3 linked regions of the Saccharomyces cerevisiae S288C genome follow. Changing the gene in region 3 together with the main gene of any one other region gives a genetic interaction. Each region holds a gene or a part of one and is shown on either strand. Other genes may lie near its edges.

Region 1 (3,562 bases), on a different chromosome or scaffold from region 3:
AACTCTCTAAACGGATTCGGTCAATTCTGCTGTGTTTTGTTGGCTCTTTCAACTGTTGCTAATAATGTCCCTGGAATGTACACTGTCGCTTTATCCGCTCAAGCTTTGTGGGCACCTTTGGCTAAAATACCAAGAGTAGTCTGGACAATGGCAGGTAATGCTGCCACTTTAGGTATTTCCATCCCTGCTACCTATTACTTTGACGGCTTTATGGAGAATTTTATGGATTCCATTGGTTATTATTTGGCTATTTATATTGCCATTGCATGTTCAGAGCATTTTATTTATAGGCGTTCCTTCAGTGCTTACAATATTGATGATTGGGATAATTGGGAGCATCTACCTATCGGTATCGCAGGTACTGCTGCCTTAATTGCTGGTGCCTTTGGAGTAGCGTTGGGTATGTGCCAAACTTATTGGGTTGGTGAGATCAGTCGTTTGATCGGAGAGTACGGCGGTGACATTGGGTTCGAGTTAGGCGGAAGTTGGGCGTTCATCATCTATAACATTGTAAGACCTTTAGAACTCAAATATTTCGGTCGATGACTAAATGTTAATTGATTAATATTTTTGCTAATCATTGAAATGATTGGTTTTAATGGATAAATCTCGACATTCGAATAGATAGCATATAATTCAAAAACGATTATAATGGGATATATATATAAGTTTAATAATATTAACTCCCTTCCCATTTCTTGAAGAGAAGAGATGTGTTAACTCCTCCAAATCCGAAGCTGTTGCATAATGCGTACTTCGGATTAGCTCCCACAATAGGTTTGTCTCTTATGAAATGTAGCTTATCGGCCTCGTTATTTTCTAGAGTCAGAACATTGTCCAGGTTTAAGGTATGCGGCATCTTATCATCCTTCAAGGAACAAATTGTAAATATACTTTCTACGGCGCCAGCTGCACCTAAAAGATGGCCAATTGCACCTTTGTTACTGGATATGTACAGTGGCTTGCTTTTGGATCTTCCTGGTAAGAGTGCTGAGGCTACTGCCAGACACTCTGCTTTATCGCCTAGTAAAGTTGATGTAGCATGTGCATTGACGTAGTCAACATCAGTTGGTTCTAATCTAGCCATTTTTAGAGCCATCTCTATTGCTCTTTTGGCACCATTTCCATCAGCAGGAGGGGAGGTAATATGGCAGGCATCACTGCTTAAACCATAGCCCACGAGCTCAGAAATTATGTTTGCATTTCTCTTTTGAGCATGTTCTAGCGATTCCATGACAATCATTCCGCATCCTTCACCAAGTACGAATCCAGAACGTTGTGTATCAAAGGGTCTAGAGATCCCGTTTGTAGTAATCGACTTTGCTCTGATGAAACCTGCTAAACTTAACGGATGCAAACTCGTTTCACTTGCACCGGCGACACAGATGTCTTGCATGCCTAACCGAATAAAATTGAATGCATCGCCAATGGAGTTATTACCTGTTGCGCATGCTGTGGAAACACTATGGGATAATCCTCTAAGGTTAAACTTGATGGAAACATTACCAGCTGCCATATTTGTAAGGATTTTAGGGACGAAATATGGATTTATTCTTTTATTGTCGTTATGGAATTGTAGAGAAGTTTGGTATATGTCTTGAATGGATCCTATACCAGAACCTATCAGGCAACCAAAGTGATCCAGATTGCACAGAGATGTATTGATGGTTATATCATTTGGGTTCAAGAGACCAGCATTGTGAAGCGCTTCATAAGTTGTACGTAGTGCTAGCTTGATAAAGCTTGAGGTTCTTCTCTCATCCTGGCTAGTGAACAGCAGTTTATTGATGGCTGAATTTTCGTTTTGAAAATTCTCTGGAATCTTCCCCACTGTTATCGTTGATGGGATACTTTTTTCTCTGAGTTTGTAGTCCTCATTATAGTTGGGCAAAGATGTGATTGGTGTGAGTCCATTTTTGGAAGAGAGCAGATTCCCCCATGACTCACTTAATGATCTTCCCAACGGCGTTACACAGCCCAATCCTGTGATAACCACTCTTCTTGACATTTCTTTACTAGAAATTAAATTTTAATCCGTTGTGGCTCCTGTCACTTTCAAGTTGCTAATAACCTGATAACGTTTAAGGATTTTACTTCCTTTTTTATCATTTATTTTTCTGAGATGAGACAGAGTCAGAAATAATAGCACACTATATGTTTTAAAAAAAAAAATCTATCTACGTATTTATTTAATCAATAAGATGTGATTTTATAAATGTGTCGTTTTTTAGCATCATTACTTGTTTTGTGGCGAATATAGAATAGGACTGTATCTGAGAATTATTACTCAAATATGTTCGATTTTAGAGGATTACCATTTCAACAGATCGTCCTTAGCATATAAGTAGTCGTCAAAAATGAATTCAACTTCGTCTGTTTCGGCATTGTAGCCGCCAACTCTGATGGATTCGTGGTTTTTGACAATGATGTCACAGCCTTTTTCCTTTAGGAAGTCCAAGTCGAAAGTAGTGGCAATACCAATGATCTTACAACCGGCGGCTTTTCCGGCGGCAATACCTGCTGGAGCGTCTTCAAATACTACTACCTTAGATTTGGAAGGGTCTTGCTCATTGATCGGATATCCTAAGCCATTCCTGCCCTTCAGATATGGTTCTGGATGAGGCTTACCCTGTTTGACATCATTAGCGGTAATGAAGTACTTTGGTCTCCTGATTCCCAGATGCTCGAACCATTTTTGTGCCATATCACGGGTACCGGAAGTTGCCACAGCCCATTTCTCTTTTGGTAGAGCGTTCAAAGCGTTGCACAGCTTAACTGCACCTGGGACTTCAATGGATTTTTCACCGTACTTGACCGGAATTTCAGCTTCTAATTTGTTAACATACTCTTCATTGGCAAAGTCTGGAGCGAACTTAGCAATGGCATCAAACGTTCTCCAACCATGCGAGACTTGGATAACGTGTTCAGCATCGAAATAAGGTTTGTCCTTACCGAAATCCCTCCAGAATGCAGCAATGGCTGGTTGAGAGATGATAATGGTACCGTCGACGTCGAACAAAGCGGCGTTAACTTTCAAAGATAGAGGTTTAGTAGTCAATCCCATTCCGAATATTGTTTTTATTGTTTTATGTTTTTCCACTGATCTGGTAAACACTAGCTGGTTGGCGCTATTAATATGAAAAGAGTTAGACCAAATTGAGTAGAAAAGAAACCTTTGGCAATCCTAACTATGTTGTTTTAGCTTGTGTATTTAAGCGCATATATATATATTTCTGAAAATGACAACATCAAAAGAAACGAACTTATTTAGAATAAAAAGAAACGACTTGGCTTCTTATTATTCCTACTTTACGTCACGTGGGAGGCCCGTTTAGGGGGGCAGCTATGTAGTTTTTCCGAGCGTACTTTCTTTCAGCATCCGAAAAGTCCTCACTTGACGGCTTACACGGAAACGCCGCGGATTGTGGGGCACAGATGATGACGCAGACGGAACACTGCAGAAATCTTTTTACCTTGTCGTTAAAGACGATATTAGAGAGAAGAGTTTGGCTGGGGACAAAGTGCCAGCTTTTCGTTCAGGGCGAGGTGCCAAAATACTTGA
Region 2 (4,463 bases), on a different chromosome or scaffold from region 3:
GGGTTTGTGTTTGATGGAGACCTCAGTAATTAACAGTACATTCTGAGAGCGGCAAACAGAATTCTGCCTTAAATTCAGATCGTTTATATACTTTTTTTTCACTTTTTACGCTCGAGACACCATAACCCAAAAATAGATCAAACTAGCCATTGTATTTTTCACCAATATGGCAATGTGATTTCCGCATTAGGCAATACTGTGAAAGACTCTATGCTACGTCAGTTCGGAGGCGTGTTTCGCAATCTTCGCGTTCCAGAACGCACCAACGCGTTGTTATTTGCGCAGCACAAGGGGGACGAGAGACATTCTGGCCAACGTGCATTCGACGGAAGTAAATTTCGGCTGGAGGCTAAGCGCTGCTTTACTGCAATTTGCATCATTACGGTGGCTCGCAGGGATAGATTGGGCGTACTGGTTTGTGGCAAAAACACCGCCTCCACGCTACCTTATTTGCCAGCCAACCGCATATTCAGGTTGCCAAAGGTACAGATCAGGAAAATGTTTCCCATTGGATGCGCAACTTTCCTTAGTAGGGAATATATAATCACTGCATTGCTGGTTTCGTACTGCCATCTTTGCGTTTAAAGTATAACCAAATTAATAAAGCGACTACGCCGCTATCCAAAACAGGCTCCTCCAGCTCCTTTAAGGAAACAAACGTCTTTTTTCTTTACTCTTATTTTTTGCACCGATTGCTAGAATACTTCTCCAATCTCTTCAAATGATGATACAAACATGTAGTCAGTAGAGATGTATCTGTCTTGATGCTCCATATGTCGTTACCCGGAAAACATCTTTCTTGTTCCTTTCGATACTTTTCCACGTTTTCAATTAACCGGAGCCATTGATAATTTCATTCACTCTTGAGAAGTTAGCGGCAATAGTAATCGGCGAAAGCTACCGTAAAGACAGTCACAAATTACCTACCACACAAGCAATGGGAGCCTACAAATATTTAGAAGAATTAGAAAGAAAGAAGCAATCTGATGTTTTGAGATTCTTGCAAAGAGTCAGGGTCTGGGAATACAGACAAAAAAATGTCATTCACAGAGCCGCTAGACCAACTAGACCAGACAAGGCTAGGAGACTAGGCTACAAAGCCAAGCAAGGTTTCGTTATCTACCGTGTCAGGGTTAGACGCGGTAACAGAAAGAGACCTGTTCCAAAGGGTGCTACTTACGGTAAGCCAACTAACCAAGGTGTCAATGAATTGAAATACCAAAGATCCTTGAGAGCTACCGCTGAAGAAAGAGTTGGCCGTCGTGCTGCTAACTTGAGAGTCTTGAACTCCTACTGGGTCAACCAAGACTCTACTTACAAGTACTTCGAAGTTATATTGGTTGATCCTCAACACAAGGCTATCAGAAGAGATGCTCGGTACAACTGGATCTGCAATCCCGTCCATAAGCATCGTGAAGCTAGAGGCTTGACTGCCACCGGTAAGAAATCCAGGGGTATCAACAAGGGACACAAATTCAACAACACCAAGGCCGGCAGAAGAAAGACCTGGAAAAGACAAAATACTCTGTCGTTATGGAGGTATAGAAAATGAAATAGTTAGAACCGTATATAGATCAATAATAATGCACTATGAACATTTTTTCAACCTGATTACTTCATCGTTCCTTTTCTTCGACTTATTTTTTTTTTATTATTCTTCGCTCTTTGGCAGCATACGCAATTTGAATTTGCAGTTTTTGACTCTTTTTTCCTTAGCGGAACGAACAATATTAATCATGCCAACTAAGTCATTGCAGAAGTCAACTTATCATTTATAAAGAAGATCCTACCCTACAATGTGTGTACCCTGATGTGCCCAGAAATGAATTGACTCCTCTCATAACTTGTTAATATTCGGATGTGCATATCACGTTCGGATCTATGTATATAAATGTACGCTCGTTTTAACCTTTAGTGTAGTACCTAAAATCTTTCTTACCAGCAACTAATAGCCCTTGAAGTAGTTTTGCTAGCTTGGACATCAAAGCACATATCACCATCAAATATGGCCAATTACACAAAAACCGCAATCCTATCCGTCTATGACAAGACAGGTCTACTTGATTTAGCCAGAGGCCTCATCGAGAAGAACGTTCGTATTCTCGCCTCCGGTGGTACTGCTCGTATGATTCGTGACGCTGGTTTTCCAATCGAAGACGTTTCTGCTATCACACATGCCCCAGAAATGTTGGGAGGTAGAGTGAAAACTTTACATCCTGCCGTTCATGGTGGTATCCTTGCTAGGGACATCGATAGCGATGAGAAAGACTTGAAGGAACAGCACATTGAAAAAGTCGATTATGTCGTTTGTAACCTATACCCATTCAAAGAAACTGTTGCTAAGGTGGGTGTGACTATTCCAGAAGCAGTAGAAGAAATTGATATTGGTGGTGTTACTCTATTAAGAGCAGCTGCTAAGAACCATGCTAGAGTCACTATTTTATCTGATCCAAAGGACTACTCCGAATTTTTAAGTGAATTATCCAGTAATGGTGAAATCTCTCAAGATTTGAGAAACAGATTGGCATTAAAGGCTTTCGAACACACTGCCGATTATGATGCTGCAATTTCAGATTTCTTCAGGAAACAATACTCTGAAGGTCAAGCTCAAATTACTCTACGTTATGGTGCCAATCCACACCAAAAGCCGGCTCAAGCTTACGTCAGTCAACAAGACAGTTTACCTTTCAAAGTCCTATGTGGTTCACCAGGTTACATTAATTTGTTGGATGCTCTAAATTCCTGGCCCCTGGTTAAGGAATTATCCGCCTCGTTGAATTTACCAGCAGCAGCATCGTTCAAGCATGTATCACCAGCTGGTGCCGCTGTGGGTATCCCATTGTCTGATGTTGAAAAGCAAGTTTATTTTGTTGCCGACATTGAAAACTTATCTCCCCTGGCATGTGCCTATGCTAGGGCCCGTGGTGCTGATAGAATGTCTTCCTTTGGTGATTGGATTGCTCTTTCCAACATAGTTGATGTTCCAACAGCTAAGATCATATCTAGAGAAGTTTCTGATGGTGTTATTGCCCCAGGTTATGAGCCTGAGGCGTTGGCCATTCTATCCAAGAAGAAGGGAGGTAAGTACTGCATATTACAAATTGATCCAAACTATGTTCCAGAAGCTGTCGAAAGAAGACAAGTATACGGTGTGACTTTGGAACAAAAGAGAAACGATGCCATAATCAATCAATCAACTTTCAAAGAAATTGTTTCTCAAAATAAAAATCTCACTGAACAAGCCATAATTGATTTAACGGTTGCCACCATTGCTATTAAATATACTCAATCTAATTCCGTATGTTATGCTAGAAATGGTATGGTTGTCGGATTGGGTGCAGGTCAACAATCTAGAATCCATTGTACAAGATTAGCTGGTGATAAGGCTGATAATTGGTGGTTCAGACAACACCCTAGAGTTTTGGAGATTAAATGGGCTAAAGGCGTCAAGAGACCAGAAAAATCTAATGCTATCGATTTATTCGTAACCGGCCAAATTCCAACAGAAGAACCAGAATTGTCTGAATACCAATCGAAGTTCGAGGAGATTCCAAAACCATTTACTCCAGAAGAAAGAAAGGAATGGTTGAGTAAATTAACCAACGTTTCTTTGTCATCGGATGCATTTTTCCCATTCCCAGACAATGTTTACAGAGCAGTTAAATCCGGTGTCAAATACATTGCCGCTCCATCTGGTTCTGTCATGGACAAGGTTGTATTTTCAGCTGCCGATTCATTCGATTTGGTTTACGTAGAGAACCCAATCCGTTTGTTCCACCATTAGATGGCATGAGTTCAGAGTCAATATGCCATAAATACAGAAATGACGGCAAATCGATGTATAGTTTATTCTTTCCTCCTCTAATGATATAATCGCCACTGACACTTTTATATATATACTAATGATACGATATGTTATAAGTACAATTTTAATTCGAACATTTCCCAAAGAAAAAAAACTTGATTTATTATTATGATGTTTATATGTGCAACACAGAAAGCTCTAGCTATAGTAATTAATGCTAGAGCTCCCAAACGAAAAACCTCTTTTAGATACCATGCAAAAGTTCTTAAACTATTATTTACTATCTGAAACAGGATGAACCTTACAGTACCCATGAACTTTACTCCTACAACATACGCAAGTGCTGAACCCACGTAAACCCAAAGAAATTCTGCAATCCTCGCAAATGGCAAAACATCGGCAGGGCCATAATACTGTATTTCTTTCATTGACTTTGCATACCGCGCAAGATAGATCAAAATCACTTTCTGTACCAAAAGTCTCATCTACTTCACTTAACTTTGTATCTAAGATAGACGCCCTTGTCAAAGTTTTATCTGACAGTAATTTTTGTTGAAGGATACGGCTAGTTGACATGATCCAATTATAATCAGTATGAACTTCATTATCTTCGGAAGAAAATAAATCCAGTAGGGCATCCCGAGTTTCGTTGAAAATC
Region 3 (3,019 bases):
GACGGCAGGAAAGTTCCAATTTATAACGCATTTATTAATAAAGACCTTTTGAACGTATCGTGGTTACAAAATGCTACTATGCCTTACTTCAAGAACTTGCAGTGGAGAGAAATCCCTAATGAATATACCGTCGAAATTTCCCTAAATTGGAATAATAAAAATAAGTCCGCCGATCGCGATCTACACGGTAAAGATCTTGCCTCAGCCACCAACTACGTGGAAGGTAATGCAAGAGTCACCTCTGGAGATAACTTCAAGCATGTTGATGACGCTATAAAGAGCTGGGAAAGAGAATTGACTTCTTTGGAACAAGAACAGGCCAAGCCCCCACAGGCCAATGAACTATTAACAGAAACATTTGGTGATAAGCTAGAATCAAGCACCGTCGCAAGGATTAGTGGGAAAAAAACAAATTTAAAAGGTTCCAATCTCAAGACTGCTACGACAACCGGGACGGTAACAGTAATTCTGTCGCAAGCACTACAATCAAATGATCATTCACTGTTGGAAACAGTGCTCAATAATCGTGACGAGAGGGTCATTAGGGATACTATCTTCCGTCTGAAACCAGCACTGGCTGTCATTCTCTTAGAAAGGTTGGCAGAGAGGATTGCAAGACAAACCCACCGTCAAGGCCCATTGAATGTTTGGGTAAAATGGTGTTTAATCATACACGGTGGCTATTTGGTTTCTATTCCAAATTTGATGTCTACTCTATCGTCGTTACATTCCACCTTGAAAAGGCGTTCCGACTTATTACCAAGGCTACTAGCACTGGATGCAAGGTTAGACTGTACTATAAATAAATTCAAAACTTTGAACTATGAAGCAGGCGACATCCACTCATCCGAACCAGTTGTCGAAGAGGACGAAGACGACGTTGAATATAACGAAGAACTCGATGATGCCGGCCTTATAGAGGACGGTGAAGAATCTTATGGCAGTGAAGAAGAAGAAGAAGGTGATAGTGACAACGAAGAGGAACAGAAGCATACCTCATCTAAGCAAGATGGCCGTTTAGAAACGGAGCAGAGCGACGGCGAGGAGGAAGCCGGATATAGTGACGTTGAGATGGAATAGAGGATATCATGCATAAAATGCTTTCACGCATCAGAATACAAAAATAATCTCTAGGCACATAAATACTTATATAGAGTTCACCACATAATGTAAGAAAAGAAAAAAGAAAAAAAAAGATCACGAAAGTATCCCACGCGAAGAAGATCTGTCAAAAGACCCCCACAATCGTTTATCCTTTTTGAACTGCATCTGGCATCGTTAACAGTAAGGCCATCTGGAACATCAAGCAAGCACTCCACTTTTACGTCACAACCATAGTTGGTTAACTAAGAAAAGACAGTACATATTTCCCTTCCGAGTCACTTATTTTTTTTTTCTTCTGAAAAAATTAATTAGATTAATTTCAATTAATATCATTTCCGCTTATCTGACTTCTTTCATTTTTTTTCTCTATATTTCGCGTTTACTAGGAAAGAAAAGGAAAAAAAATTTTTCCCCCTCCATCTGTCCCAAATCGGGTAGCGATGAGCTGCTATAGAATTTTCTATTTAAACATGTTTGATAAGCCCAATTTCCGTTAGATTTTGTTCCCCCTTCGCAGTTTGGTTTGCCGTAACTTTTTTATTTTAGTCTCCATCTAGCTGGAGTAATACGATGTAGTGCCTTGTAATCTTTCTTATTTTTATATTACCGTTCGTGTTCATTATATCCATTACGTTCCCATAATGTCGGCAAACGATAAGCAATACATCTCGTACAACAACGTACATCAACTATGTCAAGTATCCGCTGAGAGAATTAAGAATTTCAAGCCGGACTTAATCATTGCCATTGGTGGTGGTGGTTTCATTCCTGCTAGGATCCTACGTACGTTCCTAAAGGAGCCCGGCGTGCCAACCATCAGAATTTTTGCTATTATTTTGTCTTTGTACGAAGATTTGAACAGTGTAGGCTCAGAAGTTGAGGAAGTTGGTGTTAAGGTTAGCAGAACACAATGGATTGATTACGAGCAATGTAAATTAGATCTAGTCGGCAAGAACGTTCTTATCGTTGACGAAGTCGATGACACCCGTACCACACTTCATTACGCTTTGAGTGAATTGGAAAAGGATGCAGCTGAACAGGCAAAGGCTAAAGGTATCGATACTGAAAAGTCTCCAGAGATGAAAACAAACTTCGGGATTTTTGTTCTACACGATAAGCAAAAACCAAAGAAAGCAGATTTGCCTGCCGAAATGTTGAATGACAAGAACCGTTATTTTGCAGCTAAAACTGTTCCAGACAAGTGGTATGCATATCCATGGGAATCTACTGACATTGTTTTCCATACTAGAATGGCTATTGAACAGGGCAATGACATCTTTATTCCTGAGCAGGAACACAAGCAATGATAGACATATCATATCCTTCAGTAACTTGAATCATACAGCAGAATTTGTACAATAGACAACGCATATAACTGCGACCATATGTATACGTATAACTAATTATTATCTCAAAGTTTATTCCCTTAGCCTCACCGGTAACCTGTGAGGCGCGATTACGTTTTCCCTCTGTTCACCACCACGTAACGCGATATTTGACACATACGTGACAACTACTTTTGATGGAATCTGCTGATTTTTTTACCTCACGAAACTTATTAAAACAGATAATTTCCCTCATCTGCAAGGTTGGGGAAGGGTTGGACAGCAATAACCAGCGACTGTTTGAAGAAAAGATGACTGTTAGTAAAATACCCATATGGCTAGATTGTGATCCTGGTCATGATGATGCCATAGCCATTTTATTAGGCTGTTTCCATCCAGCTTTCAATCTTCTAGGAATCAGCACGTGTTTTGGTAACGCACCGCCAGAGAATACTGACTACAACGCCCGTTCTCTTTTGACTGCGATGGGCAAAGCACAAGCGATTCCAGTTTATAAAGGCGCACAGAGACCTTGGAAAAGGGAACCTCATTATGCTCCTGACATTCATGGTATATCAGGTTTAGACGGC

The links. A genetic interaction does not mean that the proteins touch.
Region 1: mutations in HPT1 (region 3) and CEM1 together harm fitness more than expected from each alone (negative genetic interaction), as found in Saccharomyces cerevisiae (2 studies listed by BioGRID).
Region 2: mutations in HPT1 (region 3) and ADE17 together harm fitness more than expected from each alone (negative genetic interaction), as found in Saccharomyces cerevisiae (3 studies listed by BioGRID).

Annotation. Positions count from the first base shown.
Region 1 is NC_001137.3:277,619-281,180, forward strand, and holds CEM1 (fatty acid synthase CEM1), read right to left. Parts: upstream 2,009-3,562; coding exon 680-2,008; downstream 1-679. Other genes in the region: FCY22 (purine-cytosine permease), read left to right, coding at 1-546; glycerol-1-phosphatase GPP2, read right to left, coding at 2,312-3,064. UniProt on the Saccharomyces cerevisiae protein: Possibly involved in the synthesis of a specialized molecule, probably related to a fatty acid, which is essential for mitochondrial respiration. Is essential for oxygen uptake and the presence of cytochromes A and B.
Region 2 is NC_001145.3:506,823-511,285, reverse strand, and holds ADE17 (bifunctional phosphoribosylaminoimidazolecarboxamide formyltransferase/IMP cyclohydrolase ADE17), read left to right. Parts: upstream 1-2,005; coding exon 2,006-3,784; downstream 3,785-4,463. Other genes in the region: YMR122C (uncharacterized protein), read left to right, coding at 211-585; 60S ribosomal protein eL15 RPL15B, read left to right, coding at 938-1,552; putative ubiquitin-protein ligase ASI1, read right to left, coding at 4,079-4,463. UniProt on the Saccharomyces cerevisiae protein: Bifunctional enzyme that catalyzes the last two steps of purine biosynthesis.
Region 3 is NC_001136.10:1,268,323-1,271,341, forward strand, and holds HPT1 (hypoxanthine phosphoribosyltransferase), read left to right. Parts: upstream 1-1,745; coding exon 1,746-2,411; downstream 2,412-3,019. Other genes in the region: UTP5 (Utp5p), read left to right, coding at 1-1,080; URH1 (trifunctional uridine nucleosidase/nicotinamide riboside hydrolase/nicotinic acid riboside hydrolase), read left to right, coding at 2,741-3,019. UniProt on the Saccharomyces cerevisiae protein: Converts guanine to guanosine monophosphate, and hypoxanthine to inosine monophosphate. Transfers the 5-phosphoribosyl group from 5-phosphoribosylpyrophosphate onto the purine.